Yarrowia lipolytica: one gene and its partners. The protein of the gene in region 3 interacts with the protein of the main gene of each other region in a pairwise test. Links are inferred from orthologs where the notes say so. Each region holds a gene or a part of one and is shown on either strand. Other genes may lie near its edges. The genes, in order: YALI1_F27929g, YALI1_C00739g and YALI1_B30146g.

The links.
Region 1: the proteins of YALI1_B30146g (region 3) and YALI1_F27929g interact in a two-hybrid assay, tested with the Saccharomyces cerevisiae proteins (2 studies listed by BioGRID, with this or other methods). The link is inferred for Yarrowia lipolytica from reciprocal best matches to the Saccharomyces cerevisiae genes PBP1 and DHH1.
Region 2: the proteins of YALI1_B30146g (region 3) and YALI1_C00739g interact in a two-hybrid assay, tested with the Saccharomyces cerevisiae proteins (2 studies listed by BioGRID). The link is inferred for Yarrowia lipolytica from reciprocal best matches to the Saccharomyces cerevisiae genes PBP1 and PAB1.

Annotation. Positions count from the first base shown.
Region 1 is NC_090775.1:2,788,885-2,795,408, forward strand, and holds YALI1_F27929g (uncharacterized protein), read right to left. Parts: upstream 4,047-6,524; coding exon 2,478-4,046; downstream 1-2,477. Other genes in the region: YALI1_F27904g (uncharacterized protein), read right to left, coding at 1-1,552; YALI1_F27945g (uncharacterized protein), read left to right, coding at 5,649-6,524. UniProt on the Saccharomyces cerevisiae protein: ATP-dependent RNA helicase involved in mRNA turnover, and more specifically in mRNA decapping by activating the decapping enzyme DCP1.
Region 2 is NC_090772.1:70,725-77,876, forward strand, and holds YALI1_C00739g (uncharacterized protein), read left to right. Parts: upstream 1-3,249; coding exon 3,250-5,187; downstream 5,188-7,152. Other genes in the region: YALI1_C00710g (uncharacterized protein), read right to left, coding at 37-333, 378-383; YALI1_C00766g (uncharacterized protein), read right to left, coding at 5,794-5,964, 6,296-6,415; YALI1_C00772g (uncharacterized protein), read left to right, coding at 6,564-7,016. UniProt on the Saccharomyces cerevisiae protein: Binds the poly(A) tail of mRNA. Appears to be an important mediator of the multiple roles of the poly(A) tail in mRNA biogenesis, stability and translation.
Region 3 is NC_090771.1:3,011,047-3,018,197, forward strand, and holds YALI1_B30146g (uncharacterized protein), read right to left. Parts: upstream 3,624-7,151; coding exon 1,554-3,623; downstream 1-1,553. Other genes in the region: YALI1_B30123g (uncharacterized protein), read right to left, coding at 1-1,300; YALI1_B30162g (uncharacterized protein), read right to left, coding at 4,493-5,170; YALI1_B30163g (uncharacterized protein), read left to right, coding at 5,293-5,309, 5,375-5,576; YALI1_B30181g (uncharacterized protein), read right to left, coding at 5,768-7,084; YALI1_B30182g (uncharacterized protein), read left to right, coding at 7,121-7,151. UniProt on the Saccharomyces cerevisiae protein: Involved in pre-mRNA polyadenylation. May act to repress the ability of PAB1 to negatively regulate polyadenylation. Negative regulator of poly(A) nuclease (PAN) activity.

The DNA of each region.
Region 1 (6,524 bases), on a different chromosome or scaffold from region 3:
TACCAACAGTGTCATGCTTGTCGATGGACTGGGCAATCTTGAGCTTGGTTCCAACACCGTCGGTGGCTCCAACCAGTAGAGGGTCTCGGAATCCAGCAGCCTTGAGATCAAAGAGACCTCCGAAGCCGCCAATGACGGAATCGGTTCCGGGTCGAGCGGTGGACTTGACCTTCTCCTTAATTTGCTGAACGAGCTTGTTACCGTTGTCGATGGAGACGCCCGCCTGAGCATAGGTGATTCCTCCAGAGGTCTTCTCAGCGTCTCGGAAGGCCTTGTAAGCAATGTCCTTTCGGTTGTACTTGCCGTTAAACTCAACAGCGTCGGCTCCCTTGTAGGCCTGGGCAACAGCGTCCTTCAGAGTGGGAGCAACAGCGGTAGATGCAATGACTCGACCGCCGGCAGTGATGACCTGGCCATTCTCGGAGGCGGTTCCAGCGTGGAAAATGTAAGTCTGCTCGGGGAGACCACCGACAGTGATAGCGTCGCCCTTCTTGTAGCTCTCGGGGTATCCGCCGGCAGACATGACGACGGTGACGGCGTGCGCATCAGGCTTGACTCGCAGAGTGACGGCATCAAGTCGTCGCTCAACACAGGCAAGCATGACTTCGGCCAGATCGGTATCGTCCGAAAGCAGAGGCAGAATGGTCTGGGTCTCAGGGTCACCGAACCGGACATTGTATTCGAGCACCTTAGGCTTTCCGTCGGGAGTCAGCATGATTCCAGTGAAGAGCATACCGACAAAGGGGATACCGTCTCGTCGCATACCGTCAATGGTGGGCTGGAGAATGGACTCCTTGATCTCCTGGAGAAGAGCAGGGGTACCGATGGGAGCAGGGCAGTAAGCACCCATTCCGCCGGTGTTAAGTCCCTGGTCGCCATCGCCAATTCGCTTGTGGTCCTGGGCGGGGGGCATGTCAACGACAGTGTAACCGTCGGAGAAAGCCAGAATGGAGAGCTCGTCTCCCTCGAGGAACTCCTCGATGACAACCTCGTCACCAGCCTCGCCAAAGGCCTTGTCCTGCATAACCTCCTTGACGGCGGCAATGGCCTCCTCGGTGGAGGTGGGAATGAGCACGCCCTTGCCTGCAGCCAGACCAGAAGCCTTGATTACGACTCGGTGGCCCACCTTCTTGACGTAGTCCACGGCCTTGTTGTAGTCAGTGAAGTTCTCAAACGCGGCGGTGGGGATGTTGTGCTTCTTCATGAAGTCCTTGGAGAAAGTCTTGGAGCCCTCCATGACGGCAGCCTTCTCAGAAGGGCCAAAGACGGGGATACCAACCTTTCGGAAGTGGGTCTCAATTCCCTCGACCAGAGGCTGTTCGGGACCGGGAATGACGAGACCAACATCCTTGGACTGGGCAAACTCGACGAGCTTGGCGAAGTCCTTCTGGGAAGAGCCAATCGCAATGTTCTCGATCTTTCCCTGGGGGTTGTCGGTTCCTCCGTTTCCGGGGGCAACAAAGATTCGCTCCACCAGAGGAGACTGAGCCAGCTTCCATGCAAGGGCGTGCTCTCGGCCACCGTTGCCAACCAGCAGAATTCGAAGGCTCATGATTGTGTGTGGGTGATGTGGGGGGGTGTTGTGGGTGGGGTGGTGAACACTGGACGTTAGTAGAAAGAGCTTTTAGCACGTCGATACCATTTTCGAATTAAAAATATTTTTTAAGCTTCACACTTTGCAACAGACACCCGTTGTCAGTAACTCGGGTCCATAGGCACCAATGGCCATGGGCATGTACGTACACATACTCGGTGTGTTTTTACCCAGATTCGACGCCCTACATTGTAGACCAATTAATGCAAGTCCCTGCCCGGACCTATCCCTACATCGTACCTCATCCCCCCTAATGCCCGCAACAGCACCAGTAGGCATTCTCCACTACTAATTCTGCATAGCTCTGCAGTGTCCCCAGACAGTAAAAATGCTTCACTCACGAATGATGGCCAATAAGTCATACCCAATCCCAAAAGCTTAGTAGTCAAATTTTTGGCACAGAGCAGCCACACATTTTGATCTGACACAAGACTACCCTACTTGTAGCATCCTGGTAAGCGGCTTACACCAAAGATACAAAACCAATCTACACTCTACAGAGCGACCGTGACTCACGTATTGGCTGCACCTGCAATAGATCTCGCGCACACGGTCTACTCGGGTCCCATGCTTCTCGCAGTGGCCCAGGATACATTTCATGCATTTCTGGAGATAGACTTTTACAGTAGCCGTACCAGAGCCATGATCTTACTTATACATGTTCGGGTACCCACGGCATTCGACTGAACCACACTTGTAGCTACAGTACAACGTTTCATCAGTCACCAACTAGAATATCATATTGCTATATACCCCAGAGACGAAAAAAAGGTCAAAAAAAAAGGGTTGGAAAAATATGGCGGAAAGTGGGAAAGATAACCCACAAAAACCGTACACAAAAAACCAAAGGAAGATTGTAATCGCTTTTTTCAGGCTCGCGTTCTTACTGCGACGGCTGCTGGGGCTGGCCATTGTTGAAGCCCTGTGGCGGCTGAGGAGGGAAGCCCTGCTGCTGGTAACCATAGGGAGTAGGGGGCATGTAGCCGCCGGCTCCCTGAGGAGGCATTCCCTGAGGAGGCATTCCCTGAGGGAAGCCCTGAGGAGGAGGGTAGCCGTATCCGGGGCCGGGAATGCCCTGAGGAGGACCCTGGGGAGGTACGGGACCCAGAGAGTGCTGGTTTTGACCGTCCTGTTGCTGCTGCTGGTTCTGGTTCTGCTGGGGCTGGAATTGCTCGTTTCGCTTACTCTCCTTGCCTCGAGGCATATCAGCAATGGGGAAGGGTCGGGGGATGTTCTCGCTGGACTCGGCAACGTAGAGGTTCTTGTCGATCTGGGCAGGGATGGGCTTGATCTCAGTTCCAAGTTCCTGCTCAATCTTGTACAGGTTGTATCGGTCGTTCCAGTTAATGAGGTTGATGGCAATACCGAGATGGCCAAATCGTCCAGATCGACCAATTCGATGGAGATAGGTCTCGGCGTTCTTAGGGAAGTCAAAGTTGATGACCACGTTGACGGCCTGGATATCGATACCTCGGGTAAGCAAATCGGAACAGACGAGGTTTCGGCACGTGCCGTTTCGGAACTCATGGAAGACTCGGTTTCGATGGCTCTGGATCATCTTGGCGTGGGAGTAGTAACATGAGTATCCCAGCTCAGTGATCTTTCGGGCAAGTAGCTCAACTCGCACAGTGGAGTTGCAGAAAATGATGGACTGGTTGATGTCGAGCTTAGAAAAGAGCGTGTTGAGACAATGCAGCTTCTGTTTCTCGTCGACAAAGGCGTAGTACTGCGTGATACCTCTTAGGGTCAGCTCGTCCATCAGGTTGATTTCGTAAGGCTTGTGCAGGTTTCGGTCCATAAAGGCCTTGACAGTCAGAGGGAAGGTGGCGGAGAAGAGCAGGATCTGACGGTCCTCAGGGAAGAAATGGAGCACCTGCTCGATGATGGGTGTGAAGTCCGGCGACAGCAACTTGTCGGCCTCGTCCATAATAAACATGGGCGACTCGCTGAGATCAGCGACGCCCTTTCCTGCTAGATCCAGCACTCGGCCGGGAGTGCCGACCAACACGTGTACCGTGTCTTCCAGACGCATAATGTCGTCTCTGAGGTTGGTGCCACCGGTGGTGACCATGACCTTGATGCCAAGATGCTTGCCTAGGGTCTTGCAAACCTGTGAGGTCTGGAGTGCCAGCTCTCGGGTGGGCACCATGATAAGCGCCTGGATCTTGTTAACTTTGGGGTTGACCTGCTGGAGGGCTGGGATCACAAACGCGGCGGTCTTGCCGGTTCCGTTCTTGGCTCGGGCCAGAATATCTCGGCCTGCGAGGGCAATGGGGATCGCCTCTTCCTGAATGGGCGAGGGGTTTTCGAATCCTGCTTCAAAGATGCCCATGAGCAGCTCTCGTTTGAGGAAAAAGTCCTCGAACCCTGTACCCTTTGTGGCGGTCACATCTTCGGTTTTGTGACGCGTGTCCTTTTTGGGCACGTTTAACGACTCTTTCCACTCAGACATGTTTTTGTGTAAAATGTGGGGTGGTGCGGTGTCGTGGTGCGTGTCGTGGGCAAACGGGAAGTATGGATATCCGGAAACTCAGAAGTAGGGACCTGCGATGGAACAGTGTAGGTGTCAATTGTCGATTAGAAAACTCCAGATATGTTTGTGTTCTGGTGTTCTGTGATGGATGGCAATAAAACAGTTGGCTGTATTGGAGGTAGGGGAGAAAGAAGAGATTGTCGGCTGGTTGTGGGTGTATTGAAAACTTTACTGGGGTGTGGATTCATTGGGAAGGGTAAGTTGGAGTGTCCGTGACCGTGGGGAGGAGGACTCCAGGCCACCTTGACATGGAGAATGTGGTGTTGGTTTGCTACGTAGTTATATAAAGAGGTCCTTTTTTTGTTATCTCTCTTTTCCACGTTTGTCATTTTGCTGGCTCCCTCTGTTTTTTTGCTGTCGTAACCCTTTTCTGTCTCTATCCTCACCTGCACACCTATTACAGCTCGCCACTTACCCGGTTGACGAACTTTGTCTGGGCACGACGGTGGCTTGGAGAGGAGCAGAGCAGAGAATGAGTGAAGATATCACTTGTAGTGTAAACGAGTGAAATGACGAAGATGGGACGATCATCCGCTGGTTTTCCCCCATACACGCGCTTCACCTCAACCTGTAATGGGGCACATATTATGACTGTCTCGTCCAACGTCTGAACAGTCAGATGTATGTAATATTGCTCCCACACACGCAGCCCATTTCCCCCTTCAGCAAAACAGATATACTTCCATTAAATTATCCACGCGAACCTCATCGAAGGTATAGAAAGGTGTACTTGTACGGTACGAGCATGTGTGCTGAACAGATACTTGTAGTCGCAGATACTGTCGGTACAGTGGTCACAGATGCTGTCTCTTCATCAGCTAGCAGAGAGAAGTACATCGCGATACTTGTACGCGCTAGAAATCACCATTTTGTCACCCATCTAAGCTAAAAGTACAAGTGTGATTACTTTAGTATCACTGATCCACATCGACAACAGAACGCTGATACCTCCCACCAAACACATCGAAACACTGCTTCCAGTGTTCCAAGTCTCATACCCAACCATAACGACGGCCCATTTGGACTCTCTCGTCCGGTTCAGGCAGTGCAGTGCAGCTCGAATGTGGGCCAAGGTCACGGCGTCAAGAGTACATACTGTACGTGGGTGGTATTACCTCGGAAATTGCCCTCCCATTTTCAATCAAGGTTAGCTCCAAGTATAAGTATCGTAGTGGCATGAGCTGAGCGATGGCAGAGTAGCTACTGGTGCCGGAACGATACAGATGTGTGTGGACTCTTGTGTTCAGAGATCGTCGTTGCCCCATTTGTCCCGGCCACCTGGCAACTTGCACAAAATAATTAACTCCGATATATATATATCAAGCCACATGCCCCAACCCCCCTACTTGTAGCCTTTTGCACCCACACCCCATCCATCCACAACCACTTCCCCATTCGGCCAAGGTCTGCACCAAGCGCATCGCCAACGCGTAGCGTCTCTCCCAACGTACGGTAAAACCACAACCTTCAACCTGCCAGACAATAGACCGATAAAAACGGTACATTGTCCATCGTGTGAACATGTCTGTCGACCTCAAACCCAAGACGCTGAAGCGCAAAAACTTCAAGAAGCTGTCACTCAACGCCGACGCCGGAGTGGCGCCCCAGGCAACAGCTTCCCCTCCGCCATCACAGCCCTTCACCCTCGACAAACCCACGCTCCAGAGAGCGCCCTCAGCAGGCAACCTGATAAGCCAAATGGCATCGCTGGAGCTGGGCGTGGAGTTCAAAATCGACATCCGGGCTCAGGATCTGCGCACCATACAGGAGCTGGGCGCAGGCAACGGCGGGTCCGTCTCCCGGGTGGAACACATCCCCACTGGTGCCGTCATGGCCAAGAAGGTGATCCATATCGAGGCAAAGGAGGCCGTGCGACGCCAGATTTTGCGGGAGCTGCACATTATGCACGAGTGCGACTCGCCCTACATTGTCTCCTTCTACGGCGCCTTCATCAACGAGTCGTCCGGCGACGTGGTCATGTGCATGGAGTTTATGGACTGCGGCTCACTGGACCGCATCTACAAGAAGGCCGGCCCGCTGACCGAAGAGATTGTCGGCCATATCACCGTGGCCGTCGTCGAGGGCCTAACGTATCTATACAACGAGCACCGCATCGTCCACAGAGACGTCAAGCCGTCCAACATTCTCGTCAACTCCCATGGCCAGATCAAGCTGTGCGACTTTGGAGTGTCTGGCGAGCTCATCAACTCCATCGCAGACACCTTTGTTGGCACCTCAACGTACATGTCACCCGAACGAATCCAGGGAGGAAACTACACTGTCAAGTCCGACGTGTGGTCGCTTGGCATCTCGCTGCTGGAGTTGCTGCTGGGAAAGTTCCCCTTTGACATGGCTAACGGAGCTGTGGGACCCATGGGTATTCTTGATCTGCTGCAG
Region 2 (7,152 bases), on a different chromosome or scaffold from region 3:
CTCTCAGCTGCATTTCGGAGATAAACGCTCAGTTGTTCATACTCCTCCCATAGAGGGCGCGGACGACGCGGAATTCCTGACATCCAACCCTCTCACCGAGTCGGTCTGTCTCCATATTGCCACCCTCCTGCCGCTCAGTATCTCTCTCGGGCATAAAGCCGCAAGACGGGGGCCTCGAGGGCCAGGTATCCTGCCATACTCACTGTAATCCGTAGCACGTTTCAAGGGCGTCTCAAAGATGACGGCTGTGTAGTCTGCGGTCGGGCTCAAGCTGCGAAATGGCCCGGTGGAAAAGAAACAATCGTGGTGTGAAAAGAGAAAGTCTGAGCTATACTGGGTCTCTGTCGGCGTTGTCTGTTCAGCCGGAGTGCACTAACTCTCATATACTCTTAATACCGCGCACCAGCCACCTGACTCTGAACTCTACCACATAGTGAAGTCCGAGAGGGCATTCCGGCCTAACTATTTGAGTTTATCAGTGGTAAAATTTTTGTTGGAGCTAAATAGAGGTATTTGGGACTGTCGGAGGGGTTTGGGGGGCACCGGTAAATACTGATTTTGACAGTGGTTTTAGACGTCAGGACAATGGGGACATGGCTAGCACCACATTTCTCGGCATCCAAACGCCCATGTTCCACCTACAAGACGCTCTCGGATCCTCGCATTCGCGCCATAAGGAGCCAGTGTGCTTCCAGCTGCCATGCAGTGTTCCATGCGCTACACGTGGCGGCTTTGTCCTGGCATCTTTAGGGGTATATATCACGGAGATAGCATGCAACTTTACCAATCATATTTTGGCGGATGCATTGACTGCCGAAGATCTGATAGCTAGTCTCCAAGTAGCTAGCCGTGGCCCTGGGGGGAATCGGTAGAGGCGACATGACCCGCCTACCGCAATAGCAACTAGTCAGAACATGTTATATTGCTATACAAACCTTGCTATGATGCTTACTCACAGCGTTTACCCCTCGGCTCTGCTTCCGCCCCGACCCCTAGCCCTCGGTTAGACTGCTGGCTCAGAAAATGAGCCCCTTCCTTGGCTCTACCTTTGACCGTTGTTGGATCTGCCTCTGCCGTTGGCATTACGTCATGCAGACAAGCAGTTAGTCAACCTGTGGGCGGTGAGATCATACGTACCCGTGCAAGTACAGTAGTGAGAGTCCACGGCTGAAAGGTACGATTTTGGCCTGTGTGGGATGCGTTTGTGGCAATGGAATCTGACTAAGCCAACGAGCCTGAGGTACAGTACGAGTATCAGTTCTTGTATCGTCCGTTCCACAGTGCTACTGCTTGCGGAAACTTCAATTACGAACATTCCATGGGGCGATTTAGACGCTCCCCGGGCCATGAACACAGCCCCAAAACTGACGAAACGAGGCAAATGTGTCTCTTGTTCCTCGTTCTGTTTTCCTGATGAGCCGCACTCAGACCCTACAACCTGTAACACGACCGTTTCAACCGTTTCATCGGAAGCTGCACATTTCAACTCATCCGCATGCAGCCTAACATGGTTTTACGAGACGAGAATGCAGTGCTCGACACGCGTCTGCCGCGCTCGCGCGCAGTGAGTTAATTTGCCCTGGACTTGACAGAGTGGGAAGTCGACATCAGCAAAGGGAATGCAATCTCGCCGAAGAGAGATAAAAATAGATGATGCAGGGTGAGTGGAGTACCGTACGTGTAGGAGCACTCACTCAGATGGCGGAGAAGGGGAGATTGATCTGATAACTTTGTGACACCTCTTCAGGGTCTACCTCCTGTCGTTTCCGCTGGCACTAACCAACGTCATGATTCTTTCAGCTGTCAGAAACCAAAAGAAAGTAGCTCGTCTGATCCGTCAGAGTCTGCAAATGACAAACTCATCTAAGCCAATACTGTACCGTATCGCACCGACGAGTATCGTACATTACTGCGCTTTTCCATAGCCCTCCTCTTTACTTGCATCTACTTGTAGTATTTAGCCTACAGTACAGTAGAGTTCAATACAGGAACGTCCTTGTGTGTGAGGTCCTCAGACTTCCATAAATAGACCCACGATCTTTCCACATTCCACCCATCTCACCCAACTACAACGTACTCTGCGTACTCTACAAATAAAATTGCTCTGTACGATGCTAAATTTAGAACCATTTTGACGATTGGCAACTGCAGTAACATCACAACAATGACCCTCGTCGTAGATACCCGTATGTAGTGCTGTCTCAATTCATTCCAACAGAATCAGACGCAGAACTGAAATCGAGACTGTGGAGATTCCAAGAGCAACCAAGAGCCCAATGGTACAGCAGCAATTTAAAGATTCATAATTCTAGCCAAAATTAGTTCCCTTTTGTCTTGGTAGCCCTTTATCTACCCCACAGTCTTATCATAAGCTGCTACTGTAGAACGTGAGTGTTGTTTTATAGGGTGGACCTTTGGTGTCCAGATCAGGAAACCAAGGGTTAGGGTGTAAATCCGCATTTTTCACCATGGATTGGGGCTAATTTACAATTTTTAAAAATTATCAGCGATGTGGCGCAGCGGAAGCGCGCAGGGCTCATAACCCTGATGTCCCCGGATCGAAACCGGGCATCGCTATTTGTTTTTTGGATTACCCAACTTACGCTGTACGTGAGTGTACATACTGCATGTGTTACTGCAGCATGCATCAAATTTTTTTTTTGGCGTCGTCTGTGTGGGCCCCAAAGTTTTCACTTGTAAGCCTCCAGTTACCCGGCACGTAACCTCACCACTATAGAATGGTAGTTAAAACTCAGGAGACTTTGGAAGTGGAGAGAGACGATTTCAGCGTTCAGGATTGAAGGGGACGTTGCCACCAACGAACACTGTCCACTAAAACACCGCTAGAGTGTTGGATCCGCCCATTGGCCATACTGTTACGGCTACATTGGAGTTGTGGCCCATCACGTGCTTTCCCAATACGGCCATAAAGCTTAAAATTGTTACATGAAGATTTTTCCCAAGGCCATTTTTTTCTGCTTTCTGCAGGTGACGTTCTACATATCCCACAACACAACCATCTTCGACAAACGACCACTCGTTGTTGACGACCTCCAAAACCCCAAAAAAAGACAGACAACAATAGATCACCCCCCGCTCGGTATCTATTAGTCTCATAAAATCCAAAAAGCAAAAAAAAATCCAACTTTCTCGCCCCCCGCGCTTTTGTGTCTCTTAACCACAAAGCCACCCTTTTTTTTCTTAGGAAGTATTCGCTTACGTTTCCTAGTTTAATTTCTGTTCTCAACAATGTCTGCTGACGCTTCTCTTGTTGCTGCCGAGAAGGCTCTCGAGAAGATGACCCTCGAGAACAAGGCCGAGGCCTCCCCTGCCACCAAGGAGGAGACCACCACTGAGGCTGCCCCCGCTGAGGGAGAGGCCAAGACTGAGTCCTCCGAGGAGAAGGGCTCCAAGGAGGACCAGGGCGACAACGCCTCCCTCTACGTCGGAGAGCTTGATCCCTCCGTTACCGAGGCCATGCTGTTTGAGATCTTCAACCCCATTGGCCCCGTTACCTCCGTCCGAGTGTGCCGAGACGCCATCACCCGACGATCTCTTGGATACGCCTACGTCAACTTCCACAACCAGGCTGACGGTATCCGAGCTCTTGAGGAGCTCAACTACTCCCCCATCAAGGAGCGACCCTGCCGAATCATGTGGTCTCAGCGAGACCCTGCTCTGCGAAAGACCGGAGCCGGCAACATCTACATCAAGAACCTGGACCCTGCCATTGACAACAAGGCTCTGCACGACACCTTCTCTGCCTTTGGCCAGATTCTGTCCTGCAAGATTGCCACCGATGAGTTTGGCAACTCTCGAGGTTTCGGATTCGTCCACTACGAGTCTGCCGAGTCTGCCGAGTCTGCCATCCAGCACGTCAACGGTATGCTTCTGAACGACAAGAAGGTCTTCGTTGGTCCCCACGTCCCCAAGTCTGATCGAATGCAGTCTTTCGAGGAGCAGAAGAACTCCTTCACCAACGTGTTCATCAAGAACCTTGGTACCGAGATCACCGAGGCTGAGTTTGAGGAGCTCGTCAACAAGTTCGGAGAGACCTCCTCTGTCCACCTCTCCACCAATGACGAGGGCAAGCCCACCGGTTTTGGTTTCGTCGACTACAAGGAGCACGACGTTGCCGTCAAGGCCATCGACGGTCTGTCCGAGACTGAGTTCAAGGGAAACAAGCTCTTCGCCGGCCGAGCCAAGAAGAAGTATGAGCGAGCCGACGAGCTCCGAAAGCAGTACGAGGCCTCTCGACTTGAGAAGCTCAACAAGTACCAGGGCGTCAACCTGTACATCAAGAACCTCGATGACACCATTGACGACGACAAGCTGCGAGCCGAGTTTGCCCCCCACGGAACCATCACCTCTGCTAAGGTCATGGTTGACGAGGCTGGTAAGTCCAAGGGCTTCGGTTTCGTCTGCTACTCCTCTCCCGAGGAGGCCACCAAGGCTGTCACTGAGATGAACCACCGACTTGTTGCCGGCAAGCCTCTGTACGTTGTCCTTGCCCAGCGAAAGGACGTCCGACGATCTCAGCTCCAGCAGCAGATCCAGGCCAAGAACCAGATGCGACTCCAGCAGCAGGCTGCCGCTGGTGGTCTCCCCGGCCAGTACATGGGCAACCCCGGTGTCTTCTACCCCGGCCAGCCCGGCTTCATGCCTCCTGGACGAGGTGGAATGCCTTTTGGTGCTAACCCCCAGATGATGATGCGACCCCCCATGCCTCCCCAGAACCAGTTCCCTCCCCGAGGTGTTCCCGGTGGCCCCAACATGTACGGCGCTCCTCCTCAGGGCTACCAGCAGGGTGGTTTCCCTCCCCAGGGCCCCATGCGAGGCGGCCAGCCTCCCCGATCCGGCCAGCCCGGTCCCCAGGGTCAGTTCCGAGGTGCTCCCCGACGAAAGGACGGTGAGTCCCGAGTTGCCGACTCCATTTCTAACGCTCTTGAGAACGCTCCTGAGGAGCAGCACAAGCAGCTCGTTGGTGAGGCTCTGTACCCCAAGGTTCTCGCTGAGAAGGCCATTGATGGTAACGCCGAGTTTGCCGGTAAGATCACCGGTATGCTGCTCGAGATGCCCATCAAGGAGATTCTCGAGGTCATTGACGACGAGGAGGGTCTCCAGGCTCAGATCAACGACGCCATCACCGCCTACAACGAGTACCTCAACTCTCAGAAGGAGGAGTAATTGTGTAATAAAATGTGTGGATTATGTGATAAGGATAAGCCAAGTAGTGAGCCAAAACCCGAGCAGTACCACTTGCATAGCAGTGAGTATGTACTTGTAGATGAATTATAGAGAGTCATGATTGAGGCCATTGGTAATTGGTTTGTAACTAACGTTGTTGTTGGTCAATTGGAAATATGTTACCACCAATGGATTCACAGTGCGCATGTTGCAATACTAAAGTGGTCTGGGAATTGCGATACAGTTGATTCTGGGAGTGTTCAACGACGACAAAGGTGCTGCGATATAGTGTGCATACGTATGTATAGTATTGTAGTCGCAGCAGTATTCTCAATATCACTAATCTCAACTAAAGATTTCAACGGGGGAAATGGTGCAATTCTCTCAAATCACGAATATATCCCTGTTCGACACCAAGACCAAATCAACATGGGCTTTGGGTGTAGAGTAGATCATGAAAGACGGTGTACATAAGGCAGTCGTCCAATACTGTACTAGTACAATGGCTCATCAAAGGACTATCGAGTCGGAAACTCATATCATAAATTAATATATACATCTGTTGTGAAAGCGGTTGTGGTCATTTCTTCCTGTCGCTCAAGGTGGTCACTTCTTTTCATCGGACTGAACGAGGAACGAAGTAATACTATCTGCCTCTTGCTGCCGGATCTCTTCGGCTCGCTCCTGTATGAGCTGTTTCTTTGATTTAAGAGGAGTGGCATCCACAAACTTGATCGAAAAGCCCTTGGGTTTCTCCTCGGGTTCAATTTTCTCCACCTGGGTTAGTTGATACTGAGAGTGGTAAGCGTAAAGCTAGCATGACGACCAGGATAGGTTTCCAAAGGTCAATCCCACGAGAACAAATGAACTCCATGAGCTGATTCACCAACTTTCGCTGCAACAACTGTCTGTGTTGCCACACTGGGGTCAAGGCTTCGGTCGTCTCCTTACCACTACAATCGGAAAGTAATGTCCAGAAGTTCTGTCTAGCATCCCTTGATTTTCTTGGAGTCTTGATTTTTCTTGGAAGTCCTTGATCTGCCGCAGAAAGTCCTTGGTCATTAGCTCTCGGGCTGCGCCCTCAGCTACCTCCTACTGTCATACTCACCAGAACATAATTCTTGTTCATAAGCCACACTCCCCAGACGGCCCCGAAAGTGAGTCCTATCGACAGAGCAACGAATCTGCTGTTGAAAGTGGCGCCTGTTTTTGGGATCTTGGTGATCATTGTGGTTGTGCGGGATAGTGTCTACTTTTTTTCGCCTCGCCTGTGGCTTGCATTTCATATCGTATAGTAGGGTTAGGGCTGTCTCTCCCAATATCACGGTTATCTCAACCACTGTGCGTACATTGTTAGCATCTTCAATACACCCCCAATGAACGCCCTTCCCAAGAGAATCAGCAAGGAGACCGAGCGGCTCGTCAAGGAGCCCGTGCCGGGAATCTCCGCTGCACCCCACGACGACAACCTGCGGTACTTCGACGTCACTATCGACGGGCCTACCTCTTCCCCCTACGAGGGCGGTACTTTCAAGCTGGAGCTCTTTCTGCCCGAAGACTACCCCATGGTGCCCCCCAAGGTGCGATTTCTGACCAAAATCTACCACCCCAACATTGATCGACTTGGCCGAATCTGTCTGGACGTGCTCAAGTCCAACTGGTCGCCTGCTTTGCAGATCCGAACCATTCTGCTGTCCATCCAGGCGCTGCTTGGAGCTCCCAATCCTGACGACCCGCTCGCCAATGACGTGGCACAAAAGTGGAAGGAGGACGAGAAGACTGCTATTCAGACTGCCCGGGACTGGACCAAGGAGTACGCCAAGGCGTAGAGATTAGAGTAATTTATTGAGCATGCCCCCACCAAACAGAGGTCGTAAAACGGAGGTTGGACATTGTACCCCTTGAAGGTTGCAGGGTTTCTGATGGAGCCGGAGCTGTTAGGCCAAATGGAAGCCGCAGACTGCA
Region 3 (7,151 bases):
CAGCCATGTATAAAGGAGGTCCCTGGAGAAAGAGTTCTTTATGGGTCGTCTTAAAAGATTCTATTTCTTTTGGCGCTGGCCCTGGTAACGGAACTACTTGTTCGTTCAAAATCGTCGCAAGGTCCGTGGGAGTCACCAGGGGCTCTTCCGATGGGGTATGAAGAGGGAACATGTCGTTGACACGCTTCCATTGAACAGGAATAGGCTCGCGTTCAATATTCATCATGAGTGACCGGTGATATATGTCAAGAAACTCGTTGTATCTTTCGTCAGTCCAAGCCGGGATGTCCACTTCGTCAGTGTAGAGGGGGTCTTGAAAGTAGATCTCAGCCAATTCCGACCAAAGCTTCCAGTATGGAGATTTGATATCCTCGTCGTAACTCTGCCACGACTTGTAATAGGCGATTCTGGCCGCGGTTATTACAAAACTCGCAGTTTCCATAAAACTACTAAACCCTCCGGATGTCGACATGTCGCAGTACTCATCAATATCACATCCCTTTGCAAGGCATATGGTTCGATCTATGATGCCCAACGGAAGCATCAGAACCTCCACGGTGTGCATGATTGGGATTATCTTTGGCTGTGAGATTATGACGCCTTCCCTTGCCAGTGCCTTAGCACATGCAAGAACTCCGCGCCCGAAACTTTGGCTGGATGGTGGTTTCTTCCAGGCACACCAGGAACGCGAGCCCGACATATGCAGACGTGCTTCTTTTGAAGTGAACCTTGCACCCACATCATCATATGGCAGTTCCCCCGACATGATCCATCCCAGTATCTTAATGAATGAAATAGGATAGCCGACTTGAACGAGAGCCAAATACATGATTTCAATGGCCATTTTCTGAGAGAGTAGCAGTGGAGTGCTTGTACCTGTATCGCATGGCTCGGAATGCACTCCACCCTCCAGGTCGTAAGACGATCGTCCGAAGTCGGTATACTTGATCAAGACACTCCACAGTTCCTTCACCACCTCCTCGAAGTCGGTATCCAAATCGAATTTCTGCATGGCCCAGTGTGTGTAAAAGCGAAGCACCTCCTGGAAGATTTGTGCACGAAGCGCATAGACCCGTGAACCAAACCATCGTTGCTCCTCCTTCTCTCCATCTTTCATGGCACTCACCGAACCTATAGTCACCTTTCGTCCTCCACCCAGGTCTCCTTCGTCTTGATTGTCGTATTCATACTCGTCTTGGCGCTGATGACCGTATCTGCAGAAGGTACGACCAGCAGCCGACCGCCACAAGTCCGAGGGACAATTGTCGATGCCACAGACGGGACCCTTTTCCCAATTCATAGTGGTGTGTATGTGTAGCTTTCACTTCATATGAAGAAATGTAAGTACAGTAGGTTGGTGGACGCATCTAGCATGCACGCTTCTCAAGCCTACTTGTACACACTGAAGGCGAACAAGGGGAGCATATAAACACAGTGGAAGCATTTCTGGAAGAAATTCTGGGCATACAGAGCCTGCTATTCTGTTCAGCATTCAAATACCACTAGTTTTGTGTAATCATATATCGACTCATTTTTCTTTATTTCACTACATACTAACCCTGGTATCGCATGTAGCCCTGAGGGGGCTGTCCAGGAGGCATGGGAACTCGGTAACCAGGAGGTCCAAAAGGTTGCTGCACAAATTGGGGGCCATACTGATACATCATGGGCGGTACTCCCTGAGGCATCTGGTAGAACGGCATCATCACGGCTCCGCCCCGCTGGGGAGACATGGCGTTGTGAAGGAAGGGGCGCTGCATGGTCAGTTGCTCTAAGGGAGGGAAAAGAACAGAGGAGTCTGCTGCCGCTTCCACGGTGTGCCAGGTCGGGTGGGTCTCAAATGCTCGAGGGAAGGGGGTGTTTTCGGCCTTGGGTTTCTTGAAGGGGTTGAACAAGGTGCTGAGAGGCGCCCGGTCCGTCTTTGGCGTAGAAGAAAAGAAAGCTGGAGAGCTGGGCTCGGGAGCGGCTGCTGTCGCCAGCTGGGCGTTGGTGTCCTTGGGAGTGAAGGGCTTGAATTCGGGCGCCTTGAAGTTCATCTTGAACTTGGGTTTTGATGGCGACGACTTAGCCACGGGTTCAGGCTTGTTGTCAGCAGCTGTTCCACCATTCTTGTCAGCGGCAGCTGGTGAAGACGACTTTTCGGAGCTCTTGTCGGCCTCCCGGCTCATCTGGATGGACGAGAGCTTGGAGGACAGTGAGTCGAACATGGGCGAAGCCACTCGGTCCAGATGTGCATTGGCCGCCTCGGGGGAAGTGGTCTCGGAAACGTCTCGAGACTTGTCCTTGGCCAGGATGGGACGCAAGTCCTCGGGAACAGGGGTATTGATCTTGTAATCCTGTGAGAACTTGCGCAGGTCGTTGAGCCGGGCGGTATCATGGTGAGTTTTGGCAGCCTCCTTCTGCGACACCATTCGGTTTCGCTCTAAGTCAATGAACTTTTGGTATCGGGACGCCAGCTCCTTCTCGAATCCGGGTTTCTTGGAGGCCGAGGGAGCGGCTGTTGCAGAGGGGTCGTTGAGAGGCAGTCCGGGGATTCGGTTGCGCTTGGGCACTGCAGCCGAGTCCACCAGTTTCTGCTCCAGTCTCGACATGATGTCCGGCTGGGAAGATGTGGGGTTTGGCTTCCTGAGTCCTCCGGCAGAAATGATGGCCGGGTCATGGGGCAGCTCGGCTCGCTGAGAAGGAGGAACATAGGTCTTAGTTCGGTCCACTCCCGAGTACTTGTCTTCCTCGTCCATGCCCGAGTCATCCACCGTGTCTCCTCGCTCCTCTCGCTGATGCGCGTTTCCTCCAGTCTGGCCCTCAATCTCGTCTGCCAATCGCTGGGCCCGTCGCATCTTGGCCTGGTAGTCGGGACCTTCCGTGTTGATACGGGTGGTGTAGAGGTGTTCATCGTAGGTGGAGGGCACTCCAAATCGGTCGGCGTTGACTGCAAACTGGTCCCAGGAGCCCGTGCCCGATTCCTCGAGTGTCAGAGCAGAGGTGGCGGAGTCGGCATCCGGAGTCCATCGCTCCAATTCTCGCTCAGCCACTGCCCGCCGGCCACTGATGTCTGTGTCGGTTCGGAACTTGCGCTGGTCGACCTGTAAGGGCGCGGATAGAGCCACAGCCACGTCGACAATGTCTTCGGGCTGGAAAACCAGCTGCTTGGCCCCCGAGTCAGCAAACCGCATGCTGACTCCCAAGTCGCCCTCAGTGCAGGCTCCCTCCAGCAAGCCGTGGATAGAGTCGCCGGAGGCGGTGGTAACGGTAACGTGTTCACCCACGGACTTGGCTAGCAAAAACAGCAGTCGGTCGTGCATGTGGCGAGCGTGAGTGGGGCTGGGCTCAGGTCGCTTCCACTTGTTGGCCGTCTTCTTATCGCCCCGGTCTCGGTCGGACCGGTCCAAGCGATCGGAGCGGTCAGAGCGGTCCCCTCCCACGGACTTGCGCTGGCGGCTTCCGCTTTGGTTCTTCTTGATCTCTGCCATCTCGTATGGCTGCACACGCCGATGCTTCCTTAGAGTGGTGATGTGGAAGATTGGAAACTCAAATGCGCCCCCCTCGCTGGGACTATTTACTGTACTACGTACGTGATGTTGATGTGACGCATGCAGTGGGGCAACACACAACAGTGCACACATGAAACGAGGTTCAATTTTATGCGAAATATATATATGGGCCGTAACGGGGGCCCCTCAATTACAACTACACAGCGGGAACACCCACCTGAGGTCATATTATTCGATTCCCGTGAACCTAGCCCGAATCTACAAGTAGTCGCTTTTTGGAGTGTGAAATACAGACACAGACTACATACGTATTGCACATACTGTACTTGTACGTACAGTACTGTAGCTGTACGAGTACCGCTAATGTGGTCTCAATTCTGATACAAGTCCACGAGTTTTTCCTGCGTTAGGCAAGAAATATGGGCACACACCTTTTTGCACGGAATATACAGGCTTAATCCGCTCTTAGTTTGGCAAGCACAAAGACCCCAGAACCCTGACCTTACCTATCCCACAGATCCTTAATTTAATCAACCGTTGTCAATACAGTAGCTATCATCATGTCTACTGTATACACTCTCAAGGGATAAGGAACGCGGGAGTTTCACACAGCCAACGCAACATAAGAGTTCATATCATTCCATTATATATCTCGCATACATTCTGCGTGGCAGGTGGTTCCAATTGACCTCAAAAGAACGAGTTTCTAAGACCAATGGACCAGATGAAGGCTACATTATTGGGGCTGGCACACTACCAGTCACGTGCCCATGACTATTTGTACAGTCCATACAGATCGGTAGGTCTGATGTCACTCATCGGGTATGTTCGTCTACATTGCAGCATGAAGTAGTATTGTATAGCAATTAGTTTGATAACATTTCTAATAAATAATTCAATAAATAATTTCTCTACAAATACCGGATGTACTGTGTGAGTACTTGTACTGTAGCTACAGTACGTTGGTGGGCAAGGATGTGTTCACTGGAACTCGCAGTCCTTCACAAGAATTCATCCACCTTCGCAGACACTTCTAGGACTCTCGAATGGTCTAAAATATCAACAATTTTGGTAAGATCTTGATCCAATGGCTCCAGCACTTCCTTATCGATATCTCTCTCACAGTATCGATAGCTGATAGCTGCGTTTTCCTCAGCCACATTCTCCGCACTGCCTTGTAAAAGTGCATGGAGGTTCCCCCTTCGTTCCTCAATCTGGTTGTCCAATTGTAGACTCTTTTGAGCCAGTTTCTGGTGCTGTTCAATAGTTCTGGCCAGCTCGTTTGTCCGGCGACGCGTCACTTCCTGCAGTGCTTCAATCTGCTGTGCCAGCTTGGCTCCGCTGTTTTCAAGCTTTTCCATCTGAGTGTATTGATGTGAAGCGTCGAAATTATTGCCGAGCGACTTCGGCACGGGGAACCGGTCGAGACGTCTCGAAAGACGTCGTTGCAAGTGTCCCAGGTCCTCTGATATCCGCACCTTCTTAGGTTCGCTGTGAGCTCTTGCCAGTATGGGGAAAGTTGCTTCTTCGAGAATAGTTGCAACCTGGAGCCGTTGATCGGTCTCCAGAGGTCTGTTCAGTGCGCTCCTTCGCACCGTTTTTCGCTTCTTCGTCAATTTCGGCTTCATTATCGCGTTCAGTGTGGGTGTCAATGTTAGACACGCACGTCTCATTTTCATTTAGCTTTGGCATCAAGGTTCACTAAGGGCAGGCTCCCGCACATCACCACGCTACAATACAGTAAGTTGGACGTCGAACATCAGAACACACACATCACGCAAAACAACAGACACATCACAAAATGGCCGACATCCCAAGGTGAGTATCTGCTACCACTGCATTGGGTGGCATTGACTACTTGGCTGTCGCAACAACTAACACAGATCCGTTCTCAACAAGCTTGTCTTCTTCACAGCATGCATGATCCTCTTACCGTTGACCTGTTTCTTCACCGCCCAAATGTTCACTGACAATACTCTCATTTCCGGCGGTCTGGCTGCCTTTGTGGCCAACGTTGTTCTCATTGGCTACGTCATCGTGGCCTTTCTGGAGGATGTGCCGGTCGACGAGAAGAAGGAGCAGTAAATGAGGGGGAAGAAATAGGTGACAAAACTGTGGGTTTAGACGGGCGACCTGATTGATTGGATTGATATAATCCATCCATCTACGTTCTATTTATCCCAATCTGATGCTACGTACCAGAGACCGCTACCATACGAAACACACAAATAGATCAGTATAATTTAAATAGTTATTTATACACCTTTGTACAGATTTTAGTAGATGCCTGGGATGATAGCGCTGGGAACAGCCTTCTTGTATTGAACCCAGAGCTCCTTGTACTTCAGAGCACACTTGTGGTCATCTCGCATCTCTCGATGGACCAGCAGCACTCCAAAGTAGGCCACAAAGAAGTAAGGGAAGATGCTCTCGTAACCAGTGGCAAGACACCAGGCCCAAGAAATGAGCCAGTCTCCTAGGTAATTGACATGTCGAGCTGCACCCCACCAGCCACTGACGATGAGCTTGTTGCCCTTGTCGTTCTCAATGTACCTCAGGTGAGGAGCGTCTCCGTGCTTGAACGCATTCTTCTCATTGTTTGAGGCTCGGAAAATGTAGTATCCGGTAGCAAAAAGAGTCACAATGATACCAGCATACCATAGAGGGTACTCAATCGTTCGGGTAGACAGGTATCGGGCCTGAACGGTGTACACAAAGGGGACCCAAGCAAGATCTCCAAAGGCCAGCATGAACCCGAATCCATCAGTGGTGATATCCATCATGTGGATGGCTCCATACTCCTCCCAGTTTCCCTCTACTACATAATAGATCTCCATCAGAACAACAAGTGCCATGGGGAGAGACACAAAGCCCTTGGTGATGTACTCATGGTGAGCCATTGCAAGATTGAGCACAGCCCACAGAAGCAGACCAGGCCGCATCTCGCAAAAGTACTTGATGTCAAAGGAGCCGATTCGGGGGTTAAGCTCTCGGCCAATGAACCAGTCGAAAATGGGGTTTCCAGAATTACCTCCAACAGACAGAATGCAGTCGTGAGTAAAAGAGGCCACGTAGACGTAAGTGGCAACAATAAAGGACCACACAATGGCAGACGTGGCAATCTGGACGTAGTGGTCGTAGCAGAACACAAGTTCGGGCATAGCTCCTCCAGTCTGCACCCATCGAGCAGCCAGAATGACTGCCAATGTGGTCATTACGGTCTTTCCATTCAAATTGTACTTGAGTCGGGTCTTTCCATCTCGCAGAACCACCCCTTCAGCCACGGGGCCAGGCAGGATCAGATCACATGCTGCCAGGGAGAAGAACCAGGTCAGATAGACGCCGAAGACATTGATATCAAACAGAGGCATGGCTCTTAGTTTGGTCATCTCCGCTGACCAGTCAATATTCAGCACACCAGCCACTGTGCAAGACTCTGGAGTGCATCCGATCTGTAGAAACAAGATGAAAAGCGGCAGCGTAAGGGTGATAAAGGTGGCTCCAGGGATTCCAAAGAAGTCGAGGTCCGTGGTCTTGGGGTTTAGTCGCTGGGTTTTGCCGTCAATGACCGTCGTTTTGCTCTTGGCTGTCATTTTTCAAGTGGTGTCTATGCTGTGTGCGAAGACATGATGGACCATCTCGTGTTTATAAAGTCAGTTA